Macaca mulatta: one gene and its partners. The protein of the gene in region 2 interacts with the protein of the main gene of each other region in a pairwise test. Links are inferred from orthologs where the notes say so. Each region holds a gene or a part of one and is shown on either strand. Other genes may lie near its edges. The genes, in order: PIAS4, SATB1, TOPORS and PIAS3.

Region 1 (3,559 bases), on a different chromosome or scaffold from region 2:
GTTCGCATGAGGGTGTGGACTATGGATGTGTGGGGGTGTGTGTGACGGTGTGGACTGTAGGGATGTGGGTATGTGGGTGTGGGTTACGGTGTGGACTGTAGGGATGTGGGTGTGGGTTACGGTGTGGACTGTATGGGTGTGGGGGTGTGTGAGACGGTGTGGACCACATCCATGTGTGGACATGCGGGTGTGCGCCCACATCTGCTTTCATACTGCACTGTGTACCCCCCAGATCAGGAAACGGCCTGCAGTGAAGGCTGCTCAAAGCCGCTGCAGAGGCTGTGAGGGCAGCACTGGAAGCAGAGCCAGGGCTCCCCATGCCCATCCCAGCCACAGCCTCTCCAGAGCGCCCCCGCTGTGTACGGCCTTCTTCCTTGGAGGTCCCGCCAGTCCCATTTCACAAACGCAGAAACAGAGGCTCAGGAAGGGGATGAGTTCCCTGAGGCCACAGGGCCAACTGGAGGCAGGCACTGGTTCTGCTCCCCGACCCCGTCCTGGCCAAAGGGCCTCGGTCTCCCCACCCGCAGGAGGGAAGGGCGCAGTGGCTGGGGGGCGTCTGGGGAGAGGCCCCATGCCTCATGGGTCCATGCAGGGCTCAGGCTGGCCTGTTACTGTCAAGGCTACAGCTGCTCCCAGGCGCCTGCAGTGGTGTCGTTCTCATCACACAGGACAGCCCTCGTCCCGCTCTGGGCGACATTTTCTTTTTTTTTTTTTTTTTGAGACGGAGTCTCGCTCTGTCCCCCAGGCTGGAGTGCAGTGGCGTGATCTCGGCTCACTGCAAGCTCCGCCTCCCGGGTTCATGCCATTCTCCTGCCTCAGCCTCCCGAGGAGCTGGGGCTACAGACGCCCACAACCGCGCCGGCTAATTTTTTGTATTTTTAGTGGAGACGGGGTTTCACTGTGGTCTTGATCTCCTGACCTCGTGATCCACCCGCCTCGGCCTCCCAAAGTGTTGGGATTACAGGCGTGAGCCACCATACCCAGCCTTCTGGGCGACACTTTCTGAGGCTGATGGGACTCCTCTCACCCAGGCCAGTCCCCCGCCCGCCCCACCGAGGTCTCTCTGAGGCAATGCTCAGAGCCCCCTGTGCCGGGGGGCCACCCCAGGCGTAGCACAGCTCTGCCTGCTCACTGCCCTGTTTGCAAAACTCCTTCTCACCCTCCAAAGTCCCACCCCACAGCTTCTCTTCCTCCTCTCCAAGACAGACACAGCAGTTTATGTCTGGCTCTGCTCCTCTATCCGCTCCCCCCGCCAAGAACAAGGCTCCCTGTAGGCAGGGTCTGGAACAGGACTCTTTTGGGGACCCTGGGGTCACCCACTCAGAGCCAGGGACAGACAGACGACAGGGCTCATGGAACAAAGTATGAATCAAGGACCTCTCCTCCAGGAAGCCTCCCTGGCTACACTGAGTCCCATGGGCTGCTGAGGCCAAGGCCTGTGTGGGATACAGCTGTCTGCCCCAGCCCTGGTGGCCCTGGAGCTGTGAGAGCTGTAAGAGCTGCCGCCACCCCAAGCCCAAGCCCCACTCCGGGCCTGTGGGGGAAGGCGGGCACCCGGCTGCACAGCTGTCAAGCTGGGAACAGAGCAGCCATTCAGGCAGTCCACGTGCCCGGCCCCAGGGTCTCCTCTCTCTACCCGAAGCTGGGATGCAAGGGGGTGGCCACCCAGCCTTCCACAGAGGCGACCCAGACTCAGGCCAAGTTCAAGTCCCAGTCTGGCCCCCTGTGAGCCGAGGGGGGCTCCAGCTGCTGGCTGCCTCCTCTGAGCCTGTTTCCTCGTCTGTAAAATGGGGAAGCTCACAGGTCTGCCTCCCAGGATGGGGACAACTGCACAAACCGGAGGTCTACTTAGGGACCAAATCTATGACCCCAGAGGCAGGCCAGCCCTGCCTTCACCTGCACGGTCCACTGAGGCCGTGCACCCGAGGGCTGGGGGCCCAGCTCACCCCCCCAGGCAGGGCCTGCTCCCGCCTGTGAGGGCACCAGCTCGTGCCGCTGTGGCCTCACGCCCTGCCAGAGGCTCTGGGGACGAGAGGTGGGCGTGGCCGGCGCCATGCAGGAGCCGCATCAGGTGCCACAGACAACAGGGCTCAGTTTCTGGAAACTTAAGCCCTGGGCAGAGCCTCCCTCCAGGGAGAAAGGTCTTGTCCTCCTGTCCCCTGGTGCCTGGGGAATGCCTGGCCACAGCTGTGCCACCCAGGAAGGGAAGGGTATGGCGTGGCCAGAGCACTCCAGGGGCACCACCTCCTTCGCCTCTCTGTGAGGAGCCACCCCCATTGCTGCGCGTCCTGGGGCGAACGCCGTGTGAAAGCAGAGTCCGGCTTGGTTTTTTGGGGCAAAAACCACACTCCTGGAGCTCAAGGTCACACCTGCCTGAGGTCATGTGGGAGCGGGGTGGACCTGAGCCCGCCTTCTGCAGCCTAAGCTACATGCCTATCGCCTGCACAGCAAAGGCTCTGAAAAGTTCCGCGAGCAAGAAACGGGCTCTTCTCACAGCCCGGGGCTTCCAAAGCTCCGGGACCGTGTGTCCCCACTGCTGTGTCTTGCTGGGGCAGCACGGGGTCTGCAGGAAGCAGGGTGCTGCCGAGATCTCCATGGCCGCCCGGCTCCGGCCGCCCTCCCGGGGCCCCAGGCTCACCCATCGATGATGAGCTGGTCGTAGGGGGCTGGCTTGTCGCACACGGGGCACATCCAGGTGGGCTTCTTCTCATTCATCTGCAGGTAGAAGACGGCGTCGAAGCACTGCAGGTGGGCGCAGGTCTCTGCCCGGCAGGGCACAGAGAGCCGCATCTTCACCAGCTGCGGGGGAGGGGCTGCGTGAGCATGGCACCCGTCTGCTGTGCCCGCCCACCCGGCACCCCTCACCCCCAGCTCCATCCTGTGGCTTGTTCCAACGCTCATGCCTCAGGAACACGGGGGGACCAAGACCAGCCTTGCCCCCGCAGGCTCACGGTCCAGCCAAGATGCCCTGGGCCCAGGGCCACCAGGGAGGAAGTACAGCCGCAGGAGAGGCCCCAAGGAGGAGGCTGCCCCAACTCACCGGGCAGATGAGGGACACCCGCACACCAGTGGTGGCGATCTCGCTGTCGGGATCCAGGCGCAGCTTCTCCTTGACTGTGGGGAGGGAACGGAGGACGCCGTCAGAGAGGTGGGCACAGTGGGGCACAGGACTGGGATTCGGGTTCTCTCCAGCACCCGTGACCACCTCCCAGAATAGATGCCCCCAAAACGAGCCTTGAGCCTCGCTGTGTGGCTCAGGGCCACGAGGCACCAGAGGAAGTCAGGCGGCGACCACCATTAGATTTGACCACAACCTGGGCACACCACAGACCCAGCCGACGCCCCCACACGCAGGTGGCCTATGTGGCCTCCCCTACCCCGCGTGGGCTGTGACCCACGGGACTTTTCTGGAAAGTTTCATGCAACACAGCCACCGACGGGGTCATTGCTGTGACTTAATTCCGTCACTGACGCACCATCCCCAAGGCCACAGTGGGGAATGAGGCAGGGATTCCTTTGGGAGATGGACCCGGGGGCCTCCCGGCTGTGAGCCAGGAAG
Region 2 (4,359 bases):
GAATGTTCTTTCCCCTGAGTTGCCTCGTTCAAATGATCCATACTCAGTCACTGTCTAAAGATCACCTGCCAGAATTTAAAAAGAAGACATGTTATAATTGGGTGGGGACCTACGTGTATATATGTGTCCTATGTAAATGTTTTAGCTCTAGATATCTCTCCACAAATATAATGTATTGGTAAAATGGCCTATCTAGATATGATACAGATGTTACTATATTTCTAGATAATAGCCTTACATTCTTATTTAAATTAACAAAATGATCTGTGGAAACTGTACCAATACACACGAATAAAAAGGCAATTGGCCTATAAAAAAAACTAAGTGGGGAGAAATGGGCTTACTTTTAGAACAAGAATTATCACAAGTATAGCTAAAAAGAAAACAGCAAATTTTATTTATGTAGTCCCAATTTTTAACAATTAGAAACTCATTACAAAATACAGCAGAAACACTTTAATAAAGGATGGAAAGATGATCACAGTTCAAAATATTAGAAATCTAATGTATATGTTTATATGTGTATGTACATATAATATACATATACATATATGTTTTATATGTATATGAATATAAATTCTGAGGAAAATCATACACAATCTCAAAAGAAGGTAACAAACATCTAACTGTTTTTTAAACTCCCCACTGGCTTTTATAAGTTAATGCATAGAAAAAGTTTTCCACTATCAAAGTTTCAAGAGTTATGTGACAGATCTAGTCAAGTCTTGGGTCAAACATGTGATTGGATCAGTTTACCCCTAAGGAAACAGGAAGAAGTGAAGGGTTTTCAAATATCCAATGTACTGATGCATTAAAACTCATGTGTTTTGTAGTATTTAGGTGTCCATTAGCAATAGAGGGCTGTTAACAATAAATATTTTTTAAAAATTTAGAATACACTTTGTGATATACACATTAGGTTGAAGTGCCAAGCTCAATTAAAACACACACACACAAAAAAAAAAACCTTGATGACACTGGTAAAACAAAATATCCAGTATTCAGAAACAACCTCAGCATGCAATGGCGTTAACATTGTAATTAACTTCAAAAAAATTAACAGATAATTATTTTCAGTTATATACTAGACATCAATTTTCACATCATTTATAGTAAAGTGATTAGATAATATCAAAGTCATTTTTAAAGCATAGTTTTAATTAGAATTGATAAGAACAGGTAAGTAGAATTATTTTATGAACTTTGATGGTATTTGAAATATTGAGCTTATGAAAATAAGGCATCATATTTAGGAAAACCAGAGAGAATAATTACCATTTTTCCTAGCTGTCTAGTAATTTGACATGGCTTGTTTTTGTTGTAAATTGTTACACTGAAGCTATTTAAATCTGGATTTGCTGAAAGCCAGTTTGTGTTAGCATGGCTTTTCTGTAAACATTTTTTTCTTCTGTTTAACCATAGCCTACTTCTTACCATATAATCAAGAAAAGGGGGGCAGTAATGTTAATCTGGAAGTTTAAAAGCAACCTTAAGAATGCCAATTGAAGAACTATAAAGTTTGAGAAAAATTAACGGCTATTTATCTTTGTACTCCAGAGTGGCACACTGAGAACTAAAGGTTTACCGTTGATCGAGGTCCCATCTGTTTTTGGTTATGAGGTTCATTAACAATAAATGTGCCTTTTTAAACCACTTTTTATCAAGATTACTCTTTTCCATTATATTAAACTGCAGTCTAAAGCCAAAATTAGAAAGCAATGATTATTAACTTATTCAAAACACTCTTTATAATGTTTCATGTGGATAATACAGAGCTGCTTTTTCTGAAATTGGTTGCCTCATCCTAGAGCAGAAGATGAATTTTAAAACATATGATTTGAAAAGAAAAATGTTTAGCCCTTGGGGCAATTTAAGAGGAAAAAAAGGGAGGGGGTGTAGACAACAGCATCAAAGTTAATGCTATAAAACATATTAAGTAATCATGAAGCTTAACAACACTATAAACCGTACAGCAAATGAAAATGATATATTATAATTTAGTTAATGTATTGACAATCAAAGTATCACATAGGTCATGAAAAACTGTCCTTTGAATACCCACCTATAAGCATCTATTAAACACTAAGTCATGGTGTAAAAAGCTTCACATTACAAACCAAAATTAAATGCACATAAAACACCCAATTTACTCATTTAAACTCTATGCCCGGGCTAAAGTTCACCAAACCACAGTTTGGAATTGAAAAGAGCAATCTCCAACAGGCCTGCCTGGATGACAGCAGCAGGAACTAACTATGGTCTCAACAGATGCCAGGCTGAAGAGTTTCTTTTGAGTTACACATGTTACAACCCATTTTAGTGTAATGTCTGGTTGCCACACAGAAAGCAAGCTACTTTCTGAAAATCCCATTTATCTGCCCATAAACTAAGACCATATATGATAATTACTTAATAAAACAGTGAACTCTAACAATTATTTCCTTTAAAAAGAAAGAAAAGCACGAAATTATAGTTTTTTAAGAACCGATTTTTTTTGCAAAGTGAGATCCTTTTCAATGAGTTTCTAGCTGGATCGCCTCCTTCGTCCCCACACAACCCCATAATCACATTTTAAGATTGTGCCCTTATCCATTCCATATGGCCGGCACGATCCAGGCCAAGCTTTCACTGTGACCTTTTAAAGAGACAAAGAAGCAAAGTACTATCTAGAAACAGAAACACTGCAGTTTTACTGAGTGAAATTAGCAAAACCGACCTGAAACTCACCACTTCAAAACTTGACAGCATATAAATAACAAAAACAAAGGAGATTTCCTTTGCAGACCGGGTTCTTGAAGAGAAGTTCAAGACTGATGTTTTCTATGTCCTTTTTTTTTTAATTTAAAAAAAAAAAAAAAAAAAAGCAGCAGACCTGAAGGCGACTTCCCCTGAAATTGTATTATTTTTCCTTTCCCCTACCCCCGCCCCCCTAAGCGGGGGAAGGGCAGAAATAAACGTCTAGAAGAGTAGCCATGAGAAAGGGGTTTAAAAAAAAAAAATCACAATTCGAAAACCAACATATATGCGTTTGTAAAATGTCTAACCTCAGAGAACGGGGTTTGCGATGGGGAGGAGGGGAGAGTGGGAAGCAGGGAGGAGGAAGAAGATAAAATTGATCTGACAAGTGATTCGTTGGGGGGAAATCGTAAAAACAAAGCAAAACCCGTTATGAGCTGTACACTATGATGGTGCTGGGGAAACGAGGTGGTGACTGAGGATTCTCTTTAAAAAAAAAAAAAAAAAAAAAAATCACTGCGGACAATGTCTCCAAAAAGGAAAAAAAAAAAGGCCCTTCGCGTCTCTCACTCCCTCCTGCTCGCTCGGGTTCTTCGGTGTGAGGACTGAAAGTCTACTTCTGGCTGTCACTTGCAATATTATTCTCCAACAAACCCGAAGAACGCGCACTGGGAAGGCCACCTTGCCTCCCTTCCAATCACCCCCACCCCCCTCCCCAACAATCGTGACTAATATTAACAAACCTTAAACTTTTCCCCACAGCCTCGCACCCCCAACGAGGGCATCTAGCGGGGGACAGCGAGGGTGGGGGGCAGAGGGTCGCGAGAAAAGCCCCGGAAAGGCACTAAAATGCCACTTTTGATTCTGCCCTCGCTGACAACAGCCCCAAGGACCCTCTCCCTGCCCATTGACGCGGGGCTGTGAGCGTCTGGGATCCCAGCAAGTGAGGAAAGAAGAGGTTCGGGGGGAGGGGGAGGAGGAGAAAGATCAGAAGGCACCCCCAGCCACCTCCACCGCCTAGGCAGCGACAAACTCCCCGCCCCCTCCCCCCAAAAAGTCGCCAAGCTCTCACTCGTCCAGAGTCCGAGGTAAACAACGAGCACCACAATGGCACTAGGACTTGGGGGGGGAAGAAACCCAGAAACCCCAACAAAACTGATCAGGAGTTTCCTGAAATGAAAGAGGGGGGCGGGCAGCGTCCTCTGGAGTCGCCCTGGCTTTCGGCTGGGCCCCCAGGCAGGCTAGAGGGCGGCCGCGGCTGTTGTTGTTGTGACGAGGCCGGGTGTTGCTGGGTGGCACAGGGAGAGGTGTGTGTGTGTTTGTGTGTGTGTGCGTGAGTGTGAGCGCGAGTCCCCGGACGGGGCTGCTTCTCTCGCTCTCTCCCTCGCTCGCTCTCCCCCTCGCTGCCGTCTCTGCCCCCATTAAATTATTAGTTGACTCATCCCGGCCGCTGTCGCCGCCGCCGCCGTGCCCCGCTCGGCTCCGCGCGTCCGCCCGGGCTGCAGCCCTCTCCGCCGCTGCTCCTGCTGCTGCTGCCGCCGCCGCCGCCGCTGCCGCTGTGGGTGCCTCTTCTTCCTCCTCCTCATTTTAATACAAAATCACCCCGCTCGCAGCCCCAGCCCC
Region 3 (4,169 bases), on a different chromosome or scaffold from region 2:
TCACCCATAACTGATTATAAGGGCCCAGACAGAGGATAGTCTGTAACAACAAAACAATCATCATACTTAAACAGGTTCGCTACCTCTTGCCACCTTAAAGAAATCACTGTACCTCTCTGAAATACATTTTAATCAATTCCAAAAGAAGATACAAAAGTTATGCGATCTGCTGACCAGATCCTATCAAATTGAATTCCAATTCCTGCAATAAGAATTGGTTGGGAACCGTTCCCCTCTAAAACCACTCATTCCAGACAAGCATGATTGATTTTAGCTGATTGTATAGCTTTCTTTGCATTTCATGGACAAAACCCAGAAAGTTCTCACCACTACTAAAATCTCGGGCAGCTGTTTCTTAATTTATCTTAAATAATCTTGAAAATTACCTATCAAAAGGTCTACTCCGTTTTCCTCTTAAATCACTATGTGGCTCATCTCAGCACTGCCCCCTTCCAGCCTACAATCAGCAACCCATGAGGAAAGCTGCAGTAACTGGATGCATGAACAAGTCACGGGCAATTTCTGCTCAGAATGTTTAACAGCACAGACGAGTCCAAAAGCCACGGTGATAGTCGTTTGCTTTGGTTCAGAACTGCCACTAGACAGACCTAAGATAGGCACCATGAGCATTACATAACTACAATGAACTTAAATATTGTTATTCCCATTTTACAGACAGGCTCAGGGGCTTAGGGGACCTAGGCAAGGTCACATATCCTGTAAGGGTGACGCCACGATTCAGTTTCATTGCTTTTTCGTTTTTCCCTGAGACCAAGCTCTTTCCAGTACACGGGCAGGCTCGCGCCCCTCGGGAGCGCTTGTGGGAAGCGCAACCCTCGCCCGCCCGCACCAATCCACAGGTGCGCGCAGAAGCCGCCCGGGGGCCCTGGCCCTGGCCCGCTGAGGCCCGGACGGCCCCGCAGGCCAAACCCGCAGCCCTCGGGTCCCGAGGCGCCGCTCCAGGCGGGAGCGTCAGCTCATCCGACCCTTCCGACCCCCACGTCCCATTGTTCCGAATCTCACTCACCTCGGAGGATGCCGGCGCAGGCCTGGCTGGGGCGCTCGCCACGAGCTCCCGGCAGCCCAGAAAGCTAGGTCGGTGACGGCAGGATCCGCGAAGGCGTACCCGGCGACTTCTCCGCCTACCCTCCGAAGCGGGAGCAGGCGGGGGCGCTTCACCCTCCTCGCGAGACAGCGGAGACCCCAGCGGCGGCTGCGACCCCTGTGACGCAAAGCGCTCATCACCAATGGCAGCTCGGAAGCAGGGCAGAGAGTGAGACCCACCCACCAGCTCCCGGCGCGTCAAAACACAACACCCGCCTTCGCCACGCATGCGCAGGAGATGGGCGCCGGCCCCGAGGGCGGGGCTCAGCGCGCCTGCCGAAACGCGGCCCCTCCCCCGCAGCTCCAGACCCGGGATGAGGGCAGTGCGACCCTCCCCATCTTGTTACTGGTACTCAGCCGCTGGGGACACTGACTGAATGTTCGCCCCTAACTTACCCGGAAAACACGACAACTAGTTCGATGTCGTTTCAACCTCACCAAACTCTGCGGGAACTTACGAAATTGTCTCTAGTGTCTAGATAAGGGAACTGTTACACGGAGTTGAAGTCCCGGAAGCAACACCGGGAGTCCAACGGGATCCAAAACCAGAGCCCAACCAGTATCCTATAAAATCTTCAGAGAGGGATCCCCTCCAGGCTGGGGAGAAACAGGACAACCTAACAAAACAGGGCCTGGACTCTTCCCTAAACAGACCACGTTTTTCTCCGCTCTTCCCCTTCCCACTCCCTGAAATCTAGACTAAAACTCTTTTAAGATAACTGCGAGGTATAAAGAACGTCTAGAGCCTAAAGCGGCCCGTTGCCAGATTCTACTCCTCAGGCCTCAAATGTGAGCGTCCCAAACATTCTAGAGCTGAACCTGGTACGCTTGCCAGCCAAACTGCCGTGCTCGGGGCTCAGTATCTCATGCGCGGCCGTTCAAGAACCTCAGACACGCTCAGAAAACACTTGTTGCTTGACTGGTACATTATGGCGGGTAACGCATCCCACATATTTCTTCTTAGAGATATACATCATGCTATACATTTGTGAAGAACGGCTCGATTTACAGGGGTTCCCACAACGATCTGTCACATACAAAAGAGTGGGTGGTATTTTTACGTCAAAGATGAACAGGCGAACGTTCATCTAAATCGTGTGGTATCAGATGCGGAGAGGCGTAGGGAAGCCGGGGGAGAAAGCATTAATTCTTCCAGCTTTAGACCCCGACGTAATATTTAAAACGTGGATTGTTTTTCAAATAAACTTTTCAATGGACACGACAGCACCTCATCCTGCGTTAATACTGCATTGCAACTATAAAGAAAACCTGTGGAGGTACGCCCATCTCCTATCTCTCTAGTTGGCAAAAAAAGGAAAAAAAAAAAAAGGCAATTTTTAACATTTTCTCGTTTATTCCCCTCTAAAAGGCGGGCAAGGCCCCCGATCACGTGATCCCGCCCCCCCCCCCCCACCAACTCCGGGCGGAAGAGGCCGGCAACACCTCTGCACGAAGCGAGTGGGCGGCCGCTCGTGCCCGGCTAAAAGATGGCTGCTGCCGCCGGGCAGCCACCGCCTGGGAGGTTACTGTAAGGCCCGCAACTCCCGCCAGCTCCCGCGAACCGCTGCCGCCTCCTTACCATGAAGCCAGTGAGTCGTCGCACGCTGGACTGGATTTATTCTGTGGTAAGTCCCGGGGCTCGCGGGCCCCCACCGTGTCGACTCACTGGGCCTGCAGGCAGAAAGGCTCTACTTCTTCAGCACCCAGAAACTCCAAAATCCATTCCTGAATTAAGCATTTCACTCCCTCACCTCGACTCCGCCTCTTCCTGGAGGATACGATCTTCCGCTTCTTACGTAAGGGCAGCTGGGTGTACCCGCCACTGGAACCCCATTTATTCGACTTTGTTACTTTAATTCCCACCTTAGCAATGGCACACGGTAACCTGACGGCGGGGGGAAATACCAGGCACATTTCACACCTCTTTTGGTTTTTGGTTTAGTTGCTGCTTGTCATCGTTTTAATCTCCTGGGGCTGCATCATCTATGCTTCAATGGTGTCTGCAAGACGACAGCTAAGGAAGAAATACCCAGACAAAATCTTTGGGACGAATGAAAATTTGTAACTCCTCTGGATTTACTTCTCTGAAAATAGTTCTTTCCCTCATGCTTAGGTAGATTTAAAAGTAAAATTCATAATGCAAAGTTCCCAAGTTTATTTTTGCATTATCCTTTATAACAAGCACTAGTATGCAAATTTGCAGAAATATCAGGCACATTTCACACCTCTTTTGCAGTTTTTGGTTTAGTTGCTGCTTGCCATCGTTTTAATCAACTGGGGCTGCATCATCTATGCTTTAATGGTGTCTGCAAGACGACAGCTAAGGAAGAAATACACAGACAAAATCTTTGGGACGAATGAAAATTTGTAACTCCTCTGTATTTAATTCTTTGAAAATACAGTTCTTTCCCTCATGCTTATGTAGATTTAAAAATAAAATTCATAATGCAAAGTTCCCAAGTTTATTTTTGCATTATCTTTTGTAACAAGCACTAATATGCAAATTTTTAACTTAGAAATTTTAGTATTTTACATTCTCATGACAAAACAGCAAATAAGCTTTTCAATGAAGTTTCTAAATTCTTTAAAAATGACTCGGAAAGATTCCTTATTTTTGGGGGGGGGTGGGTAGGGACAGTGTCTTGCTCTGTCGCCCAGGCTGGAGTGCAGTCAGTGGCTCTATCTCAGCTCACTGCAAGCTCTGCCTTCTGGGTTCACACCATTCTCCTGCCTCAGCCTCCCGAGTAGCTGGGACTACAGGTGCCCGCCACCATGCCCGGCTAATTTTTTTGTATTTTTAGTAGAGACGGGGTTTCACTGTGTTTGCCAGGATGGTCTTGATCTCCTGACCTCGTGATCTGCCCGCCTTGGCCTCCCAAAGTGCTAGGATTACAGGCGTGAGCCACCATGCCCAGCCGGAAAGATTTCCTTAAAACAAAAGTGCATGGAATTTCTGTTCTTATATTTGTTTATTGCGAAAATTCACTGTTGCATACCCTGATACCAAATTAAAGTATTGTATAAGGAAAAAAAACCAAACAAACTAGTACGTAACTGAATACTTT
Region 4 (4,193 bases), on a different chromosome or scaffold from region 2:
GATGTCCGGAGGATAGAGCAGAGACACACAAAAGAACGAGAGACAAGTAGGCACAAGAGGATGGATAGGGAAAAGCGCAGGGCAGAAGAGAAGAAAGTCAGAAAGCAGAGTCCAGGGGTAACCCCCCAGGGATGAGGGAGGAAGACTGGAAGAGATGTACCTGGATGTAAGAATCTGCTGCACTTGCTGGGGTGTGAGGGCAAAGGTAAAGTGCGCTTCCTCAAACCGCTGGCTAGAAGTGGATGCTGAGGATACAAAGGGGCAGTTATTCCAAGCCCATGCACAGGCAGCCACAGAAATCACCCCCATCCCAGGTCACTGATCCCATAGGACTAAAGCCTAAGAAATGTCTGGGGAACAGGTAGGGAGTCCAGAAGACTAAGGGACCACAAAGAGCCATACCAAGGGTGGTGGGCCGGATGAGCTCCCCGTAGACTTCATAGAAGGGCAATGGTTTCATGGTGACATCAGGGTGCACAGGCTGGGCAAGAGAGGGGTGCATGTCCACCTCACGCTTGGGGCCCAGCAGGGTGCCAGGGGCCAAGAGGGTTGGGGGAATGGGAGCTAGAGGACCAGGGGAGCCTACAGGAGAGGTGCCAGGAGGCAAAGAGAGAAGGGAGAGGTCAGAGGGCCCCAGGGTCTTCCGGGGAAAGCGTCGTCGGTAAAGCTCTTTGATCTTCATCTGGACGCTAGGGGCACAGCTGGACTTCAGGAGGTGCAGGGCCTTGGCCAGGAGCTCGTGCTTCCGCCCACTCTTGTTCCGGCCAGCAAAGCCAAGAAGCACCTGGAGCTCAGACACCCGGAAACTCATCACCATGTGCTGTGGAGAAGAACAGAGAAGCTTGAGAATCCTCCGTTGCACAGGCCTGCCCTGCCAAGACATGGGCTGAGCTACCAGGTGGGCAGTGCCTTTTTCCCTCCAGCACTGATGGGAAAGATGATGCTTCGCAGCTAGTGGATTACTGCCAGGTAGTCAACCTATCCAAAGGGACATCTCAGTCCCACTTTAGCAACCATCAGGTCAGCATCATCACCACCCCCTGCCCACCCCAAGCTTGAGCAACACTGTCTGTCTCCCCAGGCCTGGAAGTGGCCAGAGTGGGGCAGGGAATGGCAGACAGCAAGCCACCCTCAGACACACCTCCAAGTCTACACAGCCTCCCGCCTCCAACCCTGCCTCTAGTCTGGACTCTCCTTTAAGCTGCTTATCTCCTCTCTTGCCCTTTCTCAGACACTCAAACTCATCCCAGCCTCCTGGGAAGAGGATAGGAGACAGGGAGAAGGAGGGAGAGACAAGAGGATTCAAGCCAGACAGCCCCACGGGGAAGAAAGGGGCCAGGTGGCTGGAGGATTGTGCCCTTCAGCCCACCCCTCCAAACCACCTTAATTCCTCAGCTATTTCCCCCAAGCCTCTGAAGCTTCTGTGGGCCGGGGTTTTCAGGTCAGGGTTCAATGCTCATTACTCCCCCAGATCCTTTCTTGGAATCATTAATATAACCGCCCCCTCCCCACAACTTAGTCCTATTTTTCTGGAAGGGAAACAGGACCAAAACTTAGGTTGAGGAGATTAACAGTGATTCACTGAGTCCAAGTATCCTGCCTGTTTACTCTATCTGCCAGGAACCATTATCTGGCGTCTCTCCTACAGAGAGAAAATAATACTCCTGTACAACCTACAGCCCCCCTACACGGGTGGAAGAGGAGCGGGCAGAGCTCTAAACAGAGGCCCTGGGTGGATGAAGGAAAAGCCTCTGAGTCAGGGCACAGAATCGCAAATTTCCTGAAGGTAGCTGGGCCCAGTGGCTAGACCTCCAGACTGCCCAGGACCATAGCTCCATTTCAAAGGGCAGAAGAAAACCAGGAGGCATGGGGATGAACTCGGTGGTTTAAGGTTCTATGAGATGTCCTCAGACGTGGTCACCCTCCAAACTCTGTGTGGCAGAAGGAGGGGAGCGCTCTCCTTAGAGGGAGGACTCCCTTCTGTGAATCTCTAGGAGATCCTGTCATGGGCAGGGCTTGCTAGCCCTACACAATTCTTCTCACAGGAGGCTTTGTCTTGGACCCCTTTTGTGGAATGTGATGAGAAACTTGCTCCTCTTTCTCCCAATCTTTATCTTCTCTGTCCTGTCTTATTTTTTCCATTAGCTTTCCCTATAACTTCCCTCCTTTCTATCTCATAGTTTCACATGCCTCTGCCTCTGCCCAAACATCGCGATTCACTAAGGCAGGACCTTCCTCTGAGCCTCCAGGATGCTTCTGCCCCACCCCTCGAGGTATCAGCCCGCACAGCCCCGCCCCCTGCATCTCAGCCGCCTACTGGTATTTCCCAAAGCTCGGATCCCGAGAGTAGCCCCAAAGACCCTACCCTTTCAGCTGCCTTTCCCCCGGAGCCTCCCCTACATCTGCCCCGCGGTCCCATCCCTGCATCTGCCCCCTACTGTCGCATCTCTTGGCCTCGATCGACTCGCCCCCAGTGCCTCTAGAGCAGCTTTTCCCCCTGGCCCTACCCCAACAACTGCCCCTACTACTAAATCCGACTTCTACCCTTCGTCCCCGCCCCCTGCGCCTCAGCCCCCAACAGCTGCAATTCCCCTCGGCCCCACCCCTACATCTGCCCCGCAGCCCCGCCCCCGGAGCCCCGCCGCAGCCCCTTCCTCGCTCTCAGCCACTTCTTTCCCATCCTCAGCAGCCCGTGCCTGCCACGTCGTCGGCGCCCACCCGAGCCCCGGCACCCAGTCTCGGTCGCTTCCCGGACACGGCGTACCGCCGGAATCAGTCCAGATGGGGATGGGGGAGGGGGCCGGTACCTTTAATTCGCCCAGCTCCGCCATCTTGAGACATCGCAGGCGCCCTAGCCGGAGCCGGAGCTCAGGCCCAGGGACCGGCGCACAACTCTCCACCCCGGCGCCGGCCGCAAATGCCGCCTGCTCCGCCCCGTCCGGCCCCCTATACCTCCCCTTCCCGGCCCCGCCCGCCTGGCTTCGGACTAGCCCCAGCCTGAGCCCCTCCCTCCACAGCGGACCCAGCAGCTACACGTCTGCGGCGGGTTGGCAGGACGCGTAGCCCCGGAGGGAGTTTATGGCCCCCAAGATCGCGGGGTCCCCTAGGGCAACGAAGAGGAGGCGGGTCCGAAGTGCCTGGTGGAGGGGGGCTTTGCCACGGCAGAGTTGGGAGGGGACAAGCTTTTAGAGAGCCAAAGATACTTGAAAGATGGAGGGAAAGTATCGGGAACTGCTAGAGCTCAGAGAAATGGGGGAGGGGGTAGCGAAGTTGGAGCGCAAACCCTCATCTCCATCTCTACATAAGTTTAAGCAACTAAAATCGAGAGGTCTTCCAACTCGGGAAATGGGCGAGCGCTGATCCGTCTTAGGGAAGCCGTGGAGTCGGCATTCAGTTCAAGACAGCTATACTCAATTCACCCTCTCCTCCTCCCCCCAACACCAACTACAATGCAGCTCGTGGTCCGATCGTAGGACTCAAACTCAGCAGCAAAAAAAGTTTGGTGCGGGGAGCGGGACTTACCAGCACAGTTGTGGGAAATGGAGAGAGGGTTCGGGAGGCTCAGAGGGCGGGCTGGAGAGGTGGGGGCATGGGGCTCGGCGCCGCTCCTGCTGTCCGCACGGCAGAAGTTCGGTCCAGCGGCCGGACGCGGCGGCCGCGGCTCCGCCCGGGCCGGAGCTCCGCCCGGCCTAGCGCTCGGGCTGGGGCCGCCCCCTCCACGGGAAGCCCGCCAGGACCGCCGAGAGGGAAGGGGGGCGGAGCTCGGGCGAGAGAGGGAGGGACTCAGAGCCTGGCGCTGGAGCGATTAACTCCTGGTGTGAGTGGATCTGGAGAGATGAGATCCTTGGATCCCATCATTCTCACTACCTCTGTGACCCCTCACGCTTATGTGTGGGATTGGGGTGGTGGCACGCTGCTGCTAAGGCCGTGTGAACCAGGTGTCTGACCGTATAAAGCAGTCTTCCTTGAAATGACAACTGTCTCTCCCTAGGGCAAAGCCTGGGCTACTGAATCCAAAGTGTACCTAACAGTAACTACTCCAGATACCCCTGCACAGTACCTCCACCAGAGCCCCCATACCTTTGGTGTAGCTGAAGATGAATTGAGGGGTTTTCTTGCCAACAAAAGGAATCTTTCTGTCCCTCTCTGAACTACCTACTCACTCTCCTTCCTCCAAAGCCTTGGACCCTCCA

Evidence for each region.
Region 1: the proteins of SATB1 (region 2) and PIAS4 interact in a two-hybrid assay, tested with the Homo sapiens proteins (2 studies listed by BioGRID and IntAct). The link is inferred for Macaca mulatta from reciprocal best matches to the Homo sapiens genes SATB1 and PIAS4.
Region 3: the proteins of SATB1 (region 2) and TOPORS interact in a two-hybrid assay, tested with the Homo sapiens proteins (2 studies listed by BioGRID and IntAct). The link is inferred for Macaca mulatta from reciprocal best matches to the Homo sapiens genes SATB1 and TOPORS.
Region 4: the proteins of SATB1 (region 2) and PIAS3 interact in a two-hybrid assay, tested with the Homo sapiens proteins (2 studies listed by BioGRID and IntAct). The link is inferred for Macaca mulatta from reciprocal best matches to the Homo sapiens genes SATB1 and PIAS3.

Annotation. Positions count from the first base shown.
Region 1 is NC_133424.1:4,851,310-4,854,868, reverse strand, and holds part of PIAS4 (E3 SUMO-protein ligase PIAS4), read right to left. Parts: intron 3,115-3,559; coding exon 3,041-3,114; intron 2,800-3,040; coding exon 2,639-2,799; intron 1-2,638.
Region 2 is NC_133407.1:30,103,332-30,107,690, reverse strand, and holds the start of SATB1 (DNA-binding protein SATB1), read right to left. Parts: upstream 2,858-4,359; 5' UTR 2,728-2,857; intron 66-2,727; 5' UTR 42-65; coding exon 1-41. UniProt on the Homo sapiens protein: Crucial silencing factor contributing to the initiation of X inactivation mediated by Xist RNA that occurs during embryogenesis and in lymphoma.
Region 3 is NC_133420.1:66,822,531-66,826,699, reverse strand, and holds the start of TOPORS (E3 ubiquitin-protein ligase Topors), read right to left. Parts: upstream 2,854-4,169; 5' UTR 2,730-2,853; coding exon of another isoform or gene 2,687-2,729; coding exon 2,684-2,686; exon of another isoform or gene 2,577-2,683; intron 1,223-2,576; coding exon 1,028-1,222; intron 1-1,027. Other genes in the region: TZMP1 (small integral membrane protein 27), read left to right, coding at 2,685-2,729, 3,047-3,169. UniProt on the Homo sapiens protein: Functions as an E3 ubiquitin-protein ligase and as an E3 SUMO1-protein ligase. Probable tumor suppressor involved in cell growth, cell proliferation and apoptosis that regulates p53/TP53 stability through ubiquitin-dependent degradation.
Region 4 is NC_133406.1:119,438,327-119,442,519, reverse strand, and holds the start of PIAS3 (E3 SUMO-protein ligase PIAS3), read right to left. Parts: upstream 2,849-4,193; 5' UTR 2,832-2,848; coding exon 2,808-2,831; intron 821-2,807; coding exon 403-820; intron 246-402; coding exon 161-245; intron 1-160. UniProt on the Homo sapiens protein: Functions as an E3-type small ubiquitin-like modifier (SUMO) ligase, stabilizing the interaction between UBE2I and the substrate, and as a SUMO-tethering factor.